Linked DNA regions of Cricetulus griseus. The protein of the gene in region 4 purifies or fractionates together with the protein of the main gene of each other region. This does not show direct contact. Links are inferred from orthologs where the notes say so. Each region holds a gene or a part of one and is shown on either strand. Other genes may lie near its edges. The genes, in order: Eif4g1, Prkaa1, Yap1, Usp10 and Sirt6.

Region 1 (3,515 bases), on a different chromosome or scaffold from region 4:
AGGTTGGGACTAGTGATTGCTAGGAAGGGTGGGGAGGGGGAGCCATGCCGACTGGTGTGGTTTGTATAGGTTATGGACCAGGCAATGATGGTTTTCTCTCTTGTATGCTTCGCCCTCCTCAGGAGGCAGTACAGTGTGTCCAGGAGCTGGCTTCACCCTCCTTGCTCTTCATCTTTGTGCGGCATGGCATTGAGTCCACGCTGGAACGTAGCACTATTGCTCGTGAACATATGGGGCGACTGCTACACCAGCTGCTCTGCGCAGGGCACCTCTCCACTGCCCAGTATTACCAAGGGTATGATAGACTTCTGTGGGCCTTCCGTGTCCACATGCTCACCAATTCCTTCTCTTTTGTGGAATCCCTGGAACTTTGCATTAAGTGTGTAGGCCAACCATTCCAGTTAGCTTTGTGAGGAGTGAAGGTAGCTTTAGCTTTAGATTCTCATGTCTGAAAAATGTCTTTGTAAGGTTTCCACATTGGATTCTTAGTTGTGCTCTATTTCCCCGGAAGGCAGGGTAATCTAGCCCATCTCCCCAAATGCCCTGACTTCTCCTTTCCTTTTCAGGCTGTATGAAACACTAGAATTAGCTGAGGACATGGAAATTGACATCCCTCATGTATGGCTTTACCTGGCAGAACTGATAACACCCATTCTCCAGGAAGATGGGGTGCCCATGGGAGAGCTCTTCAGGTAAAACCCCCCCTCCCTTTGTGGATGCAAGAGAGATAATGGAGTGAGATAAGTTGAATACCTGTGTTTGGAGAGCGATGGAGTAATATTGAGGGCTATGGGGTCATCAGGATTGATGATTTCTCTTACAGGGAAATTACGAAGCCTCTGAGACCCATGGGCAAAGCTACTTCTTTGTTGCTGGAGATCCTGGGTCTCCTATGCAAGAGCATGGTGAGTTTGGCCTTTTAGAGGGTGATGTATTCAGGAACTTAACGTGATTTGGGCTGCCTCTGGAGACCATGGAGCTTCTTGGTCTTTTGATAGCCTTTGCTACTTGAGAAGAAGGTTTAAGTAGGTAGTTTCTGTCATAAATTCTGCCTGGGCAGAAGGAAGATTGGCAAAGAAAGACCATAGACCTGTGGCTAATTCTTTTATTATTCATTTGATCAATGTTTCTTTGAGCAGGTCACACAGTTCACTGAATACTGAGCGCGCGTGCACACACACACACACAGATTACAAAAGTTGAATGGTGTGGACTCTGACTTGGTACAGAAAAAGCAAGAGGTGGCAGCCTCAACAACTTGAGTGAAATGTGAAATAGGGAAACGGTGGAGCTGTGAAATATTTGACAGCCTTTACAGGAGAGGACCTTTGAGGAGCACAGTAGCTCTTTATGTAAGACAGTGAAGTGACAGGAATGCAGGGCCTCGACAGGCGAGTCGGGAGTGGTGACCATGGTGTAAGAAGTCAGGGCGTGTGCTTTGAAGAGTTTGGGTATCTGGAACTTGGAGAGATGATTAAGGGGACTCAAGGGGATTTTTTTTTTTGTGAGGGTGTGGGGTGTTCCTGCTGCTGAGATTTGTCTGAACTTAGGAAACCAATAGGCATATCTGTTCCTTCCTTGTTTGAGACAAGGTCTCTCTGTGTATCCATGGCTGTCCTGGTGTGCCACCACAGTTTGGCAGCTACTTTTTTTTTTTAAGTAAACATTCATTTACTTGGGATAACAAAAAAGCTCAGTGGTTAAGAGGAAAACGGTACATTTAAAAAATTTAACTTCGATTTTTTTTGTGTGTGTGTGTGTGTGTGTATGATCCTGTGTGTGGCATGTGCCTGCAGAATTCAGAAGAGTATGTCAGATCCCTGGAACTTGCCATATGATTAGTTGTGAAACTATCATGTGGGTGCTGGGCCCCAAACAAAACAAACTCAGCAAAGCTGCTTTTGGAAAAGAAATGTAGTTGAAATATATATACTACATATGCAGTAGGAATATACTGGGTGAGATGTGTAGGTTTGGTTGTTTACCTTTTTGAGATTTAGTGATTTCTTGACTCCTACAAATGCTAATTGGTTTTTTTCCTAGAAGCTTTTCCGTCTCCTAATGTCACACCACTGTGGTGGTGGGTGCGTTCCTATTGCTTGGGATGTTTGGTTTCATCATGGAAGGGTGGTACCTGTTTGGTATCTATGTGGTATACTTAGATGACTGCTGAACTGTTGAGTCCTGAGAGCTAGAGGCCATAGAAAGGTAGAGGTAAATATTGAGATGCTGAATTGCTCTTTTGTTTTTCAGGGTCCCAAAAAGGTGGGAATGCTGTGGCGAGAGGCTGGGCTGAGCTGGAGGGAATTTCTAGCAGAAGGCCAAGACGTTAGCACATTTGTGGCTGAACAGGTTTGAGACTGGAGTTTTATTCAGAATTTGGGGGCTAGCTCATCTCATCTTTCACACTAACTAGTCCTGACCTTGGCTGTCCTTCATTTGCTTATAGAAGGTGGAATATACCTTGGGAGAAGAGTGTGAGGCTCCGGGCCAGAGGCCACTTGCCTTTGAGGAGCTGCGAAAGCAGCTGGAGAAGCTGCTGAAGGAGGACAGCAGTAACCAGCCGGTGTTTGACTGGATAGAGGTATGTTTCTCCTGGGTAGTTGGAGAAGGGTAGAGGCATGATTTGGGAGGTGACAGGAGTGGGTACTTAAGAGGCATAATTTAGAACTTAAAAGCCTTTGTTTTTCTGCACAGGCCAACCTGAATGAGCAGCAGATAGCATCCAATACATTAGTTCGAGCCCTCATGACAACTGTCTGTTATTCTGCAATTATCTGTAAGGAGCCTGGGAGATGGTGGGGCAAGGCTGTGTGGAGAGAGAGGGGTTTTGGCATTCTGGGCTAAGCCAGGTGAAGTCTACATTATTTCATTTATCCTTGTCTTTTTCCCTGTAGTTGAGACTCCTCTCCGAGTGGATGTTGCAGTGTTGAAAGTGCGAGCGAGACTGCTACAGAAATACTTGTGTGATGAGCAGAAGGAGCTACAAGCACTCTACGCCCTCCAGGCCCTTGTAGTGACCTTAGAACAGCCTGCCAGTAAGAGCCAGGCTGCAGGGATGGGTGGGACAGAGGGACTGCCAGATAGAAGAGAGGGTGGTCATGAAAAGTACACAACCCAAGAAAGGTGGGTAAAGAACAAAATGCCCTGATGGTTTGATTGATGCCTTACCCTACCCAATGCACGTTCCCTTGCCTACAAAGAGTGAGTTAATTAAACCTTGAGGGTTGACATCCTGCAGGCTTTGTGCTTGGCCAGTAGGTGACAGCAACAAAAAATGATATCTTTCAGACATGATGTGCCCACTGAGTCTGGCACAAGGCTAAAATGCTTGGCTTACATTGCCTTATCTCATAGCCATTGTGGGTTTATCTCCTTTTTTCACACTGTAAGACTGAGGTTTACAAATTGAGCACATGGGTATGTTCAAGTGTTAGTTAGGTAACCGTAGTAAGGAAGCAGACCACAGTTGTGGGCTGGCCTGTAGTCAGGGGCTGAGGGAGTGTTGGAAGGTT
Region 2 (3,515 bases), on a different chromosome or scaffold from region 4:
GTTAAGGAGAAGAAAGAAAGATTTAGACATGTTTTTCTTTCATTCCCAAGATGCCACTTGGAACACAGATCTTACACACCCAACCACATTAGCTCATCTGTGAATGGCATCAAAAGTCCAAAGGACGGTGCAAGGAAGGGAGAGAATTTATATAAAATTATCTAAAACTCCAAAACACTACAAAAGCATCTTAAGAAAAAATATAATCAAAGTAAAAGCAATGGTGTTTATTTCAATGAAATTATTTTAAATTAGATATATTAAGCTCCCACGTGTCCCAACTTGGTAGAAAAGTTCCTTTCATGAGAAATCAATTTTAATGGCAAAATTTTTACATATCAGCAAAATCTGTTATTTTAAAACTATGTATACAGTACTTTTCTGGCAAAAACTTATACAGCTTTCAGTTATCAAGACAAAGTAAAAATATGGTTGCATAAAATCACAAAAAAATATAAACTGCTGAAAAGATAATAAAAAAAGATTAAAAATCATTTGCATTGACTCCCCTTACATTTTCAATATAAGAATTTGCAAACTACATTCACAATACATTTGTGAAAATTCTGTTGCAAGCTTGACATACTTAACTGAAAGTTATCATTTCAGATATCCTAGCTTGAAAAAATTGACTGCAATAGTCTGCATTTATCATACTATTTATACAAGTGCAATATTTAAATATCTTCAAAATAAAACTCGGTAACTAAAAGGAATCACAGAATAACTTATAAAAGAAGCAAAGTTTACAAAATTAACAATTTTTAGAAGGTCCTATTTAATTGGTTCCTCCTTTTGTGCCCCTTCCCCTTCCACACAGTTTATAGAGATATTACTTAGTTCTATTTACAAAGCTGGAACTTTAAAAAAAACACACTCTTCCTTTCTTCACATCAGGAACACAATGCTGCATTTGGACATCATAAGTAATATCAGTAAACCCCAAACAGAGGACACACACACACACACACACACACACACACACACACACACACACACACACTCGCCCACACAAACACACTCGGTATAAATACAGTTCGGAACTCATTTAAATGGAGGATCCATTACTTTATACAGCATCCAAATTGGAGTTGAATAAAACAAGCCCTGAACAAAAGAATCATAATCTTTGTTTGGAATTCAGTGCATAAACCAAGCTATCATGACCTCCAAATTCATTCCCTTCTGGTTACGTAAGTGCTCAACACATTGGGGGGTGAGGGGGATTAAAATAAATATAGTGAAAAAAATATCTCTCCTGCAAAGGGAAAATGATTAATGTTTAAAGAAAATGTATTTTTGCATTGCTGGGATCAAACCCAGGATGCTGGGTGCATCCTAGACAAACACCACCACTGAGCTAGAGCCTCATACCCAATTTCTTAAACTTCAATAGAAGCCAAATGTGGACAATAAGACATTATTTGCTCATAAAACACCAAGCTTCATCTTCCCTGACTTTAAATCTTCATTTACAACTCAAATGCTGTGCTGTCACTGAAAGAGGAGAGGCATAGAAATCAGAGATCTAAGAAAGATATTACTTCTATAGCCACTAATTTTTTAAAAGTAAAACCTGAAATAAACTTGACCATTTTAAGAACTGATCCCTTCTCCACCTTTTCAGAATATTATTTACCTGATTAAAGAGATAGAGCTGAAATGAGACTGTAAATATAAACGGGATTCTGGACAGTTAAGAGATAAATATGGAAGGCCATTCACTGTCTGGAAATTACTCGTTTTATAATGCATTCAAGAGTTTCTTAAAGGACAATATTATTTTTAGGAGATGCTTAAGTATTTAGGACTGAGTATGTGTTTCTTAACATCTCAGTGGTTCAGAACAAAAGCATACATACATTCAAACATATATGCATATCTGTTTTTGTACATATGTGCATCTAGAGAGCAAATGCAGCCAAATAGGAGTTGTTGGAACTAAGTAGTAGACATACATGCGATCACTGTATTTTTTTTTTAAATGTCCAGAATAAAATCAGGGGTCAAAAATCCAATCCACGTATTCAAAGCTTATAAAAAATGTCCTTTCTATGCACTGAATCAATATTAAAAATATACAATCAAATGACATTCAACAGTGGCTGGCATGACAGCCAGAAGAATCCATGACAGTGAAAAAACATGATTCAGTACAGTATGAGCAACTCCACTCTTGGATCCAAAGCAGCACTTCATATACAAATCAAAGGGGGAAATTGTAGAAGTAAACTTAGGGCTCAGGGTTTCTGAATACATAAATTCTATGGATTTGGGGGCTTACAAGCTAAAGAAAAGATTTAAATTGAGTCTGTATCTGGTATGACTTACCACACAAAACAGCATTTTAATGTTGTGGAAATCGTTCACAATGTTACCAGAAATGGAAATAGTAGCTATTTAAGAAGCTAAGGAGCCCAGAAAACAGCATCACTTAAGAAGGTCTATGGGGAATTCTAGGCAAATAATTAATTCATGAAGCAAATATAAAACACATCAACATATGTGAAGGCTTTTATGGTAAATTTATGGCCTACAAAGCCCTGTTACACCAAATTAAAATGGTCAAAAATCAAGTGAGACCTACAATCCATTCTGTATATATTTTGCTGTATATATCTATTGAATAAGGGACAACAGAATGGTCCCAATTCATTTCCGCACATTAGGCTTTTATCATTTTCCAATCCCTGTGCAAACTGCATTCCAAAGGCCAATCCTTAGATATATGCATATATATATGTATATATATATACACACATATATATATATGTAAAACTTGATAAGTGGAAGTGTTTGGCTATAATTTATTATGCATGCTTATTGCATCAAAGAAATAAGCAAAGTTTTAGGTTTACTGTGCAAGAATTTTAATTAGATTTGCACACATTTCAAAAAATTCTATTGTGTGACTTCCTGGTCTTGGAGCTAAGTCAACCGGAGAAGAGTCGAGTGAGGTCACAGATGAGGTAAGAGAAACTTCTGACGGCTTTCCTTGAGCCTCAGCATCAGAGTCACTCCTTTGGCAAGACCGATAGTTGCTGATGGATCCCGATCTCTGTGGAGTAGCCGTCCCTGATTTGGCTTCTGTTATTTCATCTGGGTGAAAAGAATTCCCACATGTTACTATTTGTCCCTTGAGAGGTCCAACAGTATGGATCAGATTCTTTAAGTGAGACTACTGACTAGCTCCCCAGAGCATGTGTAATTTAAATACATTCTCAAATGGGGGTACTGTGCCTGGATTAAGCCACTCACTCACAGTTTCTCCACACAGCATGGAGAATGCCTATGATGGATGACCAGTTCACACAGGGTACACAATCTATCACTCTTGACTTTTACACTAAGAGCCAGGAAACTAATAACCTGAGTTTTAATTTAAAAAAAAAAAAAATCCCCTACCACTAAAAGTCTTTTCTATTAAAAGCACAGAATCAATCTCTTGAAATATGGATGATATCTTGGAAATCATCTCAGCCAAGAACCATTTTACTAATATAAAACAAAGCCAG
Region 3 (4,289 bases), on a different chromosome or scaffold from region 4:
CCAGGTTTGCATCCCAGTACCGACCTGGCAGCTCACATCCAGTTCCATGGAATCTAAACAACTCCTTGTGGCCTCTGTGGGACCCAGGCAATCATGTGATACAAAGACATATACACAGACAAATCACCCAACACAAACCAATTTTCATTGTTTTTGAGTGATTCCAGATAGGCTCCTGGTGGACTGACACACAGAAAATTGGGGGCAAAGCTGACCTCCCTTGCTTATTCTCTTTAAGTCTCTCTCAGTGTAACCCTTGTGAGCAAAAGGGAACGTGCTCCCTCAAGTTTGTGTTTTGAGTTGAAGTTCTGAGTGACTAAATGACAGAGTTTTGGTGCTAAAAAAATATGATTTGACTCTGGGCATGGCGGAGCATGCCTTTAATCCCAGCACTCTGGAGGCAGAGGCCAGCCTGGTCTACCGAGAAAGTTCCAGGACAGCCAGAGATAACAACAGAGAAACCTTGTCTCAAAAAAACCAAACCAAAACAAAAATTTGACTTGCTTTCTGATTAAAAAAAAAAAAAAAAAAAAAAAAAAAAAAAAAAAAAGAAGTAATAATGGTTTCCTGGGCAAGGCGGTCCACATTTGTAACCCAGCCCTGTAGAGCCTGAGGCGGAGGAACAAGAATTTAAAGCCAGCCTTAGCTACATAGAGAGTTGGAGGTCAGCCTGTGCTACATTGAGAACGAAAACAGGGCAGGTGAGATGTCTCAGGGTACCTGACTTCGATTTCAGAGACCCACAACAAGGAAGAAAACAGACCCTACAGATTACGTCTGACCTCCACTTGTGCTCCACGGTACGTGGAACTCACTCCTACATATGTATGTAATAAAATATTTAATTTAAAAGAAGGAAAGAAAAAAAAAAAAACGACAAAGCTAAACCAATTCTAAAAACCGGGGAAGCAGAGGCCCTTGCTTGGACTCCTAGCAGTCAGGAAGCTGAAGCACAAAGTTTGTCAGCAGTTGGAGGATATCCTTGGCTACAGTCGGCCTGTTTCAAACAAAACTTAAATCATGTTTCCCTTTGTCTCCAAGCTTCAGTTTGTAATCATTTGCACTCCCAGTCGTTTTGTTTGGTTTGGTTTTTCGGCAAACTCGCTGGTAAATGGCAAAACTGGGACGGATGTTTAAACGCAGACTCGACTAAAATCAGTGCGGGTGAATAGGACGGCTCTCCAAGCAGCCTGCCCACGCGGCTGTCCCTCGTCGCGGCCTGGCCGTGGCCGCGGACGCGCAGCTCCAGGCCGGCCGGTGCGCACGCAGCGCCGCAGCCTCCGGGTCACGTGCGGTCGGGAGTCTGCAGGAATGTAGCGACGCGCAGGGAAAGTTTCCCCGGGGGCCGCGGGCCGCGGATTCGGTGCGGGCGGGCGCGCAGAGGAAGGAAGAGCGACGAGGAGGCGGAGCCCGCGAGGCGCGCGGGCGGGCGCTCCGCGCAACTTTTTAGTTTGGGCGTCTGGAGCCGAAGTTTCTGTCTCAGTCGGGACGCCGCCGCGGTCGGGGCGAAGAAAGGGAGGACGAAGGAGCCCGGGGAGGGCAGGGAGGGTTCGGCGGCCTCGGGCACAGGGTGCAGGGCGATGCGGGCGCGCGGCGCAGCCCCCCGAGCCTGAGCGCAGCTCCCCGGGCGAGCGTCGAGCGAGGCCGCAGCCATGGAGCCCGCGCAGCAGCCGCCGCCCCAGCCGGCCCCGCAAGGCCCCGTGCCGCCGTCCGCGCCCGCGCCGCCGTCAGGGACCCCCGCGGCCCCGCCCGCGCCCCCGGCCGGCCACCAAGTCGTGCACGTCCGCGGAGACTCGGAGACCGACCTGGAGGCGCTCTTCAACGCCGTCATGAACCCCAAGACGGCCAACGTGCCGCAGACCGTGCCCATGCGGCTGCGCAAGCTGCCCGACTCCTTCTTCAAGCCGCCCGAGCCCAAGTCCCACTCGCGACAGGTAGCGGCGCCGCGGGGGCCCGGGGACGCGCGGGGTGCGGGACTGGGGTTGGATTTCCCGGAGTCGGCGGCCGCGGGGGGCTGCACAATGCGCGCGCCTCCGTTCCGCACCTTCGCTTCGGCGGGGAGGGGGAGGGGACGGGACAGGAGGGGAGGGGACGGGGGAAGAAGGGGGGCGGCATCTGGTGCGGGACCCCAGTCCGGGGACACCCGGCCTCCCCTGTCCCGTGGCGCCGCGTTTACCGTCCCCTTGTTTTCCCGAGTTGGTGAGGGGTGGGGGTTGAACCGGTCCATTGAGTTTCTGGTTCCTTCTCTCGGTCCCCTCCCCCTCCCGCTCGCCGAAGCCTCTGCTCTCGGCCCAGGCGCCGTACGACCGACCGACCGACCGAGTGCAGGCTTCGAGCTCCCCGGCCCCCGCTCGCCCCCGCCGTGCCCTGGAACTCCGGCGGGAGGGATCTTTTCACACTCGGTGGGCTCACGTGTCGCTTGCCCGATCGTAACCTATTATTTAGCGTTCGGCCCGAGAGCTTTTAAATTGGCCACATCTGGGCATTGCGCAGGAACTCGGCTGCGCTCTGGGCGCAGAGGCTCTCCGCCGGCCTTTGATAGAGCGTTGCAGGTTGACTCATAGGCAGAGTCCTGCCTGGCTCAACTGTGATTAAAGGTAATGTTTGGGAAGCAATGACTAATTCCAGGCTCGCCATTGCTTTTTAACTGACTGCGGATGTGAACATGGCTGCTTATAACCACATCCACGACGCCTGGTTGTTTTCCCAACTGGATCCTACACAGAAGTGAAAACGTTTCAAAGTATTAACATTCCGATAGGTCCTGGTAGATTTCTTTAGTGTCGCCCCCCCCACCCCCTTCTCCATTTAATTACTTAATTTTTAAAGACCTTGCTTTAGGCTAAACCAGCGTAGGAACTTTGCCCAAAACTTAATTGGTTTTCCAAACACTGCCATCGTTAGCCCACTCGGGCTGTAACTTGAGTGGAAAGAGAGTTGCCGCCCCCACTCCAACCCCCCTCCTAGGCAGGCCTGCAGCAGAACAGGGTTTTGGAGCTCCGAAAAGCTCGATTAACCTCGCTACAAAAAGCCGAGTTAAGGAGGAAGGAAAGGTTATTTAGCCTCTAGCCTAAACACTTAATTTGTTACAACAGTAGACTTAGGTACTATTCATTATCCCCTCCCCCACTAGTGGGTTTCTGGACTCGCTGAGCTAAATGCATGTTGGCGTGCAATCTTGAACGGCCGCGGAAACTTTGAAGGAACGCTCAGATTGAATGCTCCATTTTGTAGGAACGACCACGGAGAAGTATACTTGTAATATCCGACTTCCACCCGGCCGTTTGTGGGGTAGATTTGCCTTCTGATGAGCATTTTAAGAGAGCTAGCTGTGTATCAAGAAATTTACCTTTTCTGTGTGCTAATGATTTCCTAGCCCTAAATTTAATCTGATCAGAAACTCAGAAATGCCCCTGTCTTTGCTGTGGAGCTTTAAGTGACTGCTGGGTCCTTTCAGTTTCCTTATGCTCATGAATCTAGGAAACTAAACGTTTTTGATAAACCCTAATTATAATAAAAGGATTAGATTATGAATAGTATGGGTCTCAGTTGTAAATAGTTGTCTAAGGTTCCTGCCTGAGAATTCCTATACCCCTACATGCTTCTGGCATGGAAAAACTGATTTACAGAAATGAAGACAAGTTCACTTCTGATACTTTGTCTAACACTAATCTGGTTAAACCCAAATTCGAATGTTTGGGGTCTCTGCAGGTTTTTCTTTTTCCTTCCCTTGCTGTTAATGTGTATAGATCCTTAAGTTATAATTGTAGGCACAAAGAGGGCTACCTTGTTCTCTTCATTAGGTAGTTTTTAGCATTGGTACAGTTCTGAGCCTTTGAATTCATTAAGAGTCTATAATTTATATGGTTGATTTATTAATTTACAGTCAAAAAGTGACAGATGAGGGCATTAGTTATTTAAAACAAAGTATGGGAAAAGTGCATAGTAATTCCCTGGGTTTTGTTCTAGGACTTTGAAAAGCAACCATACTGCTGTGAAATGAACTGATTTATTTATTTTGGTGTGTATAGAACAAACATGTTCTCTGCCACCAAATAACAGCTCTTGCCCTAATTTTTTTGAAAACGGGTTTTAATGACAAGTATTTACTGTTTTCACAGTGTCTGGGAGGTAGACTTTCATTCAGATGGACTCAGTAAAATAACATTTATAGTGCATATTAAATTTTCGTAATTTAAAAGTGGTCCATTTGGACACCTGTGTTCCTTAGTGTCAAAATTGAACATTAAAGTTTGCTTTTGATATTTAAATATATGCTTGCCATGAGA
Region 4 (2,679 bases):
CCTGTCCTCGTGTTGCACCTGAAGCGCTTTGTCTATGAGAAGACGGGTGGGTGTCAGAAGCTAGTCAAGAACATTGATTATCCTGTGGACTTGGAGATCAGCAGAGGTAATGCCAAGCCCTGTGCTTGCTGCAGTGACCCTGAAGGTCCACTCAGTGTGACACCAAGTCAGGACTCTTTGCTTTAAGTTTATTTGCATTTGTGGAACTTATACAAACATTTTCATTAGTGGTTTTCTTATTTTTTAATTTGATTTATATTTTGCCTACATGTATCATTATGCACCACGAGCATGCCTGGTACAGGTGGAGGCCAGAAGAGGGTATTGGATCCCCTGGGGTTGGAGTTACAGATAGCTATCAGCTGCCATGTGGGTGCTGGGAATCAAACCCAGGCACAAACTTCATAGTTGTGCCAAAGCCTGACTAGGAATATTGCAAGCCCAGGCAGTCTACAGAATGCATGGGTCTGGGGAGCAGGACAGTGGAGTCTTCCTCCTAATCTTGGAGAGAAGTCCTCTCAAGTAGAGAGTACTCTGTCCCCAGGACTGCATATCTGGATTCCTGTTTCCTGGTCCACGAACTGGGTGTGCAGTTACCCCTGCCCCTTGGCTGTCAATGGCACCTTCAGGTACAGTCCTGACACAGCTCTGGGCCAGGACCTGTCCATCCCTGCTCTGATCCTTGAAGTGGGGTGGGTGTTGTTAGGTAGAGCTGTCACCAGTCAGTGCTGCTGTTCTGTGGAGATTTTGTTGAACTGTTGCTGTTTTGTTTTTCAGAACTTCTTTCTCCAGGAGTCAAAAATAAGAATTTTAAATGCCACAGAACCTATAGGCTGTTTGCAGGTGAGTATGCTTGCCCACTGCTAACTCATAAACACAGCAAGCAGAGAGCCTGTATGGTCCCTAGGCAACATTCTGCTGGAGTGCACTATCATAGAGACAGGAGCCTGGGAGAGCTTGGGTGTCTAGAAAGCAGTGGGGTCTGACATGAGGGAGGGCTCTCAAAATGTATGAGTGTCTCCCTGAGTCAGTGGCCTGTGGGCTCCAGTGGAGCCCTCCCTCCCTCCCCCCCCCCCTTTTTTTTTGGAGGGATTAGGTTGTGATCTGTGTCAGTCGGGGTGAGGGACTTTTCTCACGGGTTGCCTGCCTTGTGTTGTCTTCCAGTGGTGTACCATCATGGCAACAGTGCCACGGGCGGCCACTATACTACGGATGTCTTCCAGATTGGGCTTAATGGCTGGCTGCGAATTGATGACCAAACGGTCAAAGTTATTAACCAGTACCAGGTGGTGAAGCCAACTGCTGACCGCACAGCCTACCTCCTGTATTACCGCCGTGTGGACCTGCTGTAGCCGTGTCCGTGTGCCTGTGTGTGTGCCTGACGCTGCTTCCTACAATTCCCAACTTACTAACTTCCCACCACTCTAGTGGCTCTTTAGAGAGAAACTCTTCCTCTGTGACAGTGGGCTTGAATGAAAGGAGATGTCTTGGGGGGGGGGGGGTCTGCACAGCGCAGCTCATGCTGACTCTAAACTTTCAGAGACAGTCGCTTGGTTGAGGAAATACACAAGACACAGCGCTTCTGAAGAACTGCTGGCTCCTTAATGGAGGAGGTGGCTTGTACTGTGTCCCAGTCTGATTGCATAGTGGAATAAGTCCCGCACCAGCAGCTCTTGTAAATTTGTGAAAATGAATTTTATCTATCCTTAAAAAATAATTTTTTTAATTCATCACACTTTCCTCCCTTACCCTTTAGTTTTTGATAAACGATAAAAATGAGCCAGTTATCAGAGATGAGAGAGTTCTTACTTCAAAAGGATATAAATACACAAAACATGTCGCTGGTTCCTAGACGGAAACACATTTTAACAATTGTGAGATAATAACTGCTGACGTATACACTGCAGGTCAGACATTTGGGGTGCAGACGTCAGGCTATAGAGGTGGGTGATTGTAACTTTATTACCATGGAAAGATTTCAAATCGCATTCATGCTCTGTGTACACATCAAGAAAAGTGGGCAAAATAATGAAGATTGACATTTCCCAATGTCTGCTGTGTAAACTCCTGTCCGCGCCCTTCTGATGCCGTGTCCCTAATTGTACACAGTGTAGTGATTCCTAGGAGTATAAAGTTGTCACCCGTCAATAAAGATCACAAAGTTGGTTTAAAGCTGTGTGTGTTTCTTGATTTGGAGACACTTGATTTTTTTGAGACAGGGTTCCTCTGTGTGGCTCTGGCTGTCCTGGCTGTCTCTATTGGCCTTGACTTCACAGAGCCTGCCTCTACTCCCATGGTGCTGGGATTAAAGTCACTGCCTGGTGATTGAGACACCTTTTCCAGAAGAGCCCTCAATCCTACAAGCCTATGATTCAGCCTCTGAATTCAGCTGCCACACTGGCTGTGGTGGGCTAATGCAGCTGCTGATTAGCTTGAGAGGACCTGACTTTTCACTTTTGCTCCCTCTGATCCTGTGGGTCATGTCAAGGCCAAGTTTTTCTTTTGAATGTTTCTGATGCTACCCTCAGCTCCTGGTGGAAATGGAGAAGAGGTTGCTAGCAATGGGAAGTCCGCTGAATTTTTGGTCCTGTGGGCTGGACTCTACAGGGCAGGGCTTGCAGTGGGGTGGAACCTTTTTTTCTCAAGCTCCTTTTGTGAAATGGCAGTGTTTCCATCATT
Region 5 (4,287 bases), on a different chromosome or scaffold from region 4:
GGCCTCATCAGCGAGCATCAGGTCCCGTTCAGGCAGTGCGTCCTCCCAGTCCAGAATGGTGTCCCTCAGCTCCCCCCTGCAGCAGGTCAGGGAAGGGAGTTAGGGCCCTCACTTCCTGACAGGGGCAGGTGTGAGGAAGGTTACTCACCTACAGGCCCTTAGGCCCCTGGCCTTGGCCACTGTGCAGAGCCGGCCCGTGGCCTTGAGGCCCATGGTACCCACGACTGTCTCTCTCACGTATTGCCTGTACAGGGGGGAAGGAGGGGGATGTGACTTGTCTAGCGCTCTTTCAGGGGTCTGGGGGTGGTGTAACCAGTGTATGGGGTACAGGCTCAATCCCTGGGCTACACTGCAAGACCAACAGCCTAGGGATACAAAGACAGGTGCCTCAGTCTGGGAAGGGCTTGACATGCAGACATGAGGCCCTGAGTTCAAAAGGCGGCACAATGGAGCAGATTTACCACCCCAGCGCTGGAGACCCCAGGAGGTTCCTGGCCACTCAGCAAAACCAGCAATTGACAGGTTCTGAGAGACTGTGCTTCAGAACACAAGGAGAGGGGTTGAGTTAAGACACCTGATGCTGGGGCTGGAGAGCACTAACCGCTTTTCCAGAGGACCCAGGCTCAATTTCCAGCAACCACCTGGTGGCTCACAACCACCTGTAATGAGATCTGGTGCCCTCTTCTGACATAAAGGCGTACAAGCAGGCAGAACACTCATACATTAAGTAAATGGGTAAATCCTTAAACCCCCCCCCTCCAAATGACAACAGCAAAAAACCAAACCAACAACAATACAAGACCATCCACCAGTGTGTGTGTGGGGTGGCCAAACATGATGGCTCATTGGCTGTGATCTCAGCACCAGGAAGCAGAGGCAACTTAAAGAGGGGGTCAGGGGCTGAAGCTCAGGGGCACAGCTCTTGCCTAACACCCTCGAGGATCTGGTGTAAAGCAATGTTGTCTGCTGGCTGGGAGCCACAGCAGGGGGGTGGGGCAGGGAGAACCCCTCACTTCCAAGGATGTGGCTTGTGTCGCCCTGTTTTGTAGCTTCTTGCTTGGGGGACCTCCTCATAGCTTGTCTGTTTTTAACTGACTGTCACTGGAATCAGAGGCACCTCCCAGCTTTCCCTGGGGCCATTTCAGGACCTGTTAGCTGGTTCAGCGGAGGAACCTGGGAGAGCCCCACCCTGGGAGAGCCCCTCCCCTGCCGGTCTTCACTTGCGGACACTCACGTCTTACACTTGGGACATTCCTCTACAAACATGTTTCCATGGAGCTCAGCCAGCTTGTCCCTGCGGAAGAGAATGAGAGTCAGGTCCCTTCCTCCCTGAACCCTGAGGCTTGGACCAGTTGCTCAGCCTGCCTCTTCCTCCAGAAAGCCTTCCTAGGCTGCTCACCCACAAGGTCTAGGCTGAGGAATTGTTACAGGTGGCGATGACCCTATCTCTGCAAACACAAATAGCTGCTCCCCACTACAAAAATCTGTTGGCCAGATGGACCGTGGTGTCGCACGCCTTTAATCCCAGCACTCGGGAGGCAGAGGCAGGCGGATCTCTGTGAGTTCGAGGCCAGCCTGGTCTACAGAGCTAGTTCCAGGATAGGTTCCAATGCTACACAGAGAAACCCTGTCTCGAAAATCTTAAAAAACAAAAAAACAGAAAACAATCTGTTGGCCTTAGAGCACTTGCCTAGACGCCCCCAGTGAGGGGCTGGGGGCGTGGCTCAGGGTGGAGCCCCACCTAGAAACCCCCCCATTGACCAAGTGCTGGCCTACTTTAGGCTCCAAGCTCTTCCCCCCTTTCCATCTCCAATAAAATGTCCCTGACCCCGGGCAGGCAGCCTGGTTCCCGGATAAGGAAGGGGTGCAGCTGAGCCCCACGCCCCTGGTCCAGTCCCATCTGACCTGGGGAAGCCCGAGCGTACGTGCAGCCCGTCCACATTCTGGCTGACGAGGAAGCTGAGGAAGCCCGAGCGCTCCAGCTGCACCAGGGCCATGTGGGTCTTGGAGGGCCGGGCGTTCTCGAAGGTGGTGTCAAACTTGGGGGCCAGGCCACGCTCTTCCATGGTCCACACGCCGTGGGGGCCTCTGAGGACAGCGAGCAGAGGACAGAAGTTCCTTTTCGAGTGCAGGCCTCGTCCTGGGAGCCTGAAGTCAGTGTGTGCTGCGGGCTGGGTCCCTGTCGGGGAGAGCCAGCCGGCCAGCCGGGGACCCCGCAGCCGGGGACCCCGCAGACGCGTCCCAGCATCCCCTGCAGCCACACATCGCCGGGATCTGTGGCGGCTGCCCCACCTCACGGCCGTCCCCGCCAGCGCCCTGCCTCAGTTTCCCGTGCTCGTTCACAGACCTGAAGTCGGGGATGCCGGAGGCGGTGCTGATGCCGGCGCCCGTGTGGAAAACCACGCTGGAGGCCTGCAGCATCAGCCGGGCCAGCTCCCCCACCTTCCGCTCCAGCTCCTCCGGGGGGTCGAAGATCTGTGGGGACGGGGGCACAGCTGGGCTCAGGGACGGACCCCACCGCACCGCACCCACCCCGCCCGCGGGGTCCTCCTTCCAGGAAAGTCCTTCCCGCTGTCTACACTCCGTGTTTCGTGCTGTCCCCACAATGCCCCACTCGTCCGGGCCCCCGTCTGGCGACCGGGACACCGTGGCCTCACCTCCGGCAGCCCGCACTTGCCCTTATCCGCATACGGCGACAGCCCGGCTGCGTAATTCACCGACATCGTCGCCAACAGCGCAGACGGGAACAATAAAGTTTCCCTTGTTGAGGCCGCTTCCGCCGGAAATGGGGAAGGGACCGCCGGGGTGGGAGCGTTAGAGGCGGAGGAGGTGTTTCCCCCCGGAGCGCGCGCGCCGCACTGACGCCGCGGGCGCCATCTTTAGTGCTGGCAGAGACTTGCGGGCTGCCTCGCGAGCCTTCCCTTCTCGTCCCCGGCGCGCTCGCAGGAACCGAGTCCCAGCCCAGCCTGGCTGTGCAATGAGACCCTGTTTCAGAAAAGCGACAAAACCAGCAACAAAAACCATTAAAAACAACCCCCGGAACTCTCACTCCGTGGGTAGAGCTCACCCCTCGTGCATACAGCCGCGGCGGGAGTTCGAAGCCCGTCTAGAGGTCGTGAGACCCTGGGCGGCCTTTGGGTCTCTGCTGTGCGGCTGTCAGCCCGTGTCTGCCCCTTTCTGAGCCACAGGATAGAATGAATGGGAACTTGGGGTTCACAGGCACCCCCTCCCCCGGGCGCCCTGCCAGCATGTTCTCAGCTTTGTTTCTGGGGATAGCACAGAGCATCACGGTCAGGTCCCCACGTTACACAGAGGGGCCCGGAGACGCAGAGAGAGATGGGGAAGGGGATACTGGGTCAGAAGCACCTCCTGTGATCCCCTCCTGTGGCAGTCCATCCTGACCCCTGTGCCTGCTGGTGGTCAGACGGGACCAGGCCACGGCGATGGGGGCAGCAGTCCTTGGGGCTGCCCACATGAGCAGGCTGGCCAACAGCAGTCCTCCCTCTCTGGGCTCATCCCGTCCCCCTGGGCGGATGCCCCCCCTTCCTGATCAGGTGTCACCCCGACTCTGCTGCTGGCAGCTCGCACTTGGAGCGGGTAACCAGAGAGGCTGTGGTGCACGCAGTGCTCTGGCCTAGAGACGCCTCAGGTAGGGGGATGAGACTGTGAGAGGCCAGGGAAGACGCTGCTCTGGGTCCCAAGGAAGGGGATACTGTGTCAGGGGGTTGGGGAGGGGGCTGCTTGCGACACCCGAACACATACATGCACCTGCACACTCGTGACAGGTACACGGGACCCACCCGACATGCGCGGACCTCGCTCAATGTGCGGCCTCCTCCCTGAACCATTGTGGGAACCCACAGGTCAGCGGACCTGTGCTGCCCCACCTCTTCCAGGAGGGAGACCCCTAAATTCACAGGCCTTACCCACACGATTCCATCCTGACTGCCAACCTGAGTTTCCTGTTACCCTTGGGTGTGATTGAACTTTATAATTGGGGGTGAGAATGAGCTGTACACTGAGCTGTAGAGGAGAAAGGAAGGATGGACAGGTGGGTGGATGAATGGATGGATGGATGGATGAGTGGATGGATGGATGGATGGATGGATGGGGTGGATGGGTGGGTGGTGGGTGGGGGGGGTGGATGGATGGATGGATGGGTGGGATGGGTGGATGGATGGGTGGGTGGTGGGTGGGTCTTCCCTGAATAGATTGCTTTTGCTCATTGAGAGTAGTCAGAAACGTGACTGGCCTTCCTACAAGGGGCTGATTGTCAGGTGTCTCCTT

Evidence for each region.
Region 1: the proteins of Usp10 (region 4) and Eif4g1 purify together in Homo sapiens (affinity purification with mass spectrometry; 4 studies listed by BioGRID, with this or other methods). This does not show direct contact. The link is inferred for Cricetulus griseus from reciprocal best matches to the Homo sapiens genes USP10 and EIF4G1.
Region 2: the proteins of Usp10 (region 4) and Prkaa1 purify together in Homo sapiens (affinity purification with western blotting; 3 studies listed by BioGRID). This does not show direct contact. The link is inferred for Cricetulus griseus from reciprocal best matches to the Homo sapiens genes USP10 and PRKAA1.
Region 3: the proteins of Usp10 (region 4) and Yap1 purify together in Homo sapiens (affinity purification with western blotting; 4 studies listed by BioGRID). This does not show direct contact. The link is inferred for Cricetulus griseus from reciprocal best matches to the Homo sapiens genes USP10 and YAP1.
Region 5: the proteins of Usp10 (region 4) and Sirt6 purify together in Homo sapiens (affinity purification with western blotting; 4 studies listed by BioGRID, with this or other methods). This does not show direct contact. The link is inferred for Cricetulus griseus from reciprocal best matches to the Homo sapiens genes USP10 and SIRT6.

What each region holds. Positions count from the first base shown.
Region 1 is NC_048597.1:67,962,961-67,966,475, reverse strand, and holds part of Eif4g1 (eukaryotic translation initiation factor 4 gamma 1), read left to right. Parts: coding exon 1-2; intron 3-122; coding exon 123-295; intron 296-566; coding exon 567-692; intron 693-823; coding exon 824-905; intron 906-2,253; coding exon 2,254-2,352; intron 2,353-2,449; coding exon 2,450-2,584; intron 2,585-2,697; coding exon 2,698-2,779; intron 2,780-2,897; coding exon 2,898-3,038; intron 3,039-3,515.
Region 2 is NC_048595.1:339,157,670-339,161,184, reverse strand, and holds part of Prkaa1 (5'-AMP-activated protein kinase catalytic subunit alpha-1), read right to left. Parts: intron 3,100-3,515; coding exon 2,855-3,099; 3' UTR 1-2,854. UniProt on the Homo sapiens protein: Catalytic subunit of AMP-activated protein kinase (AMPK), an energy sensor protein kinase that plays a key role in regulating cellular energy metabolism.
Region 3 is NC_048597.1:122,385,864-122,390,152, reverse strand, and holds the start of Yap1 (transcriptional coactivator YAP1), read left to right. Parts: upstream 1-1,478; 5' UTR 1,479-1,652; coding exon 1,653-1,934; intron 1,935-4,289. UniProt on the Homo sapiens protein: Transcriptional regulator with dual roles as a coactivator and corepressor. Critical downstream regulatory target in the Hippo signaling pathway, crucial for organ size control and tumor suppression by restricting proliferation and promoting apoptosis.
Region 4 is NC_048596.1:196,599,149-196,601,827, forward strand, and holds the end of Usp10 (ubiquitin carboxyl-terminal hydrolase 10), read left to right. Parts: coding exon 1-106; intron 107-777; coding exon 778-843; intron 844-1,164; coding exon 1,165-1,352; 3' UTR 1,353-2,172; downstream 2,173-2,679. UniProt on the Homo sapiens protein: Hydrolase that can remove conjugated ubiquitin from target proteins such as p53/TP53, RPS2/us5, RPS3/us3, RPS10/eS10, BECN1, SNX3 and CFTR.
Region 5 is NC_048598.1:102,384,275-102,388,561, forward strand, and holds the start of Sirt6 (NAD-dependent protein deacetylase sirtuin-6), read right to left. Parts: upstream 2,810-4,287; 5' UTR 2,724-2,809; coding exon 2,658-2,723; intron 2,476-2,657; coding exon 2,348-2,475; intron 2,149-2,347; coding exon 1,906-2,148; intron 1,295-1,905; coding exon 1,235-1,294; intron 245-1,234; coding exon 149-244; intron 77-148; coding exon 1-76. UniProt on the Homo sapiens protein: NAD-dependent protein deacetylase, deacylase and mono-ADP-ribosyltransferase that plays an essential role in DNA damage repair, telomere maintenance, metabolic homeostasis, inflammation, tumorigenesis and aging.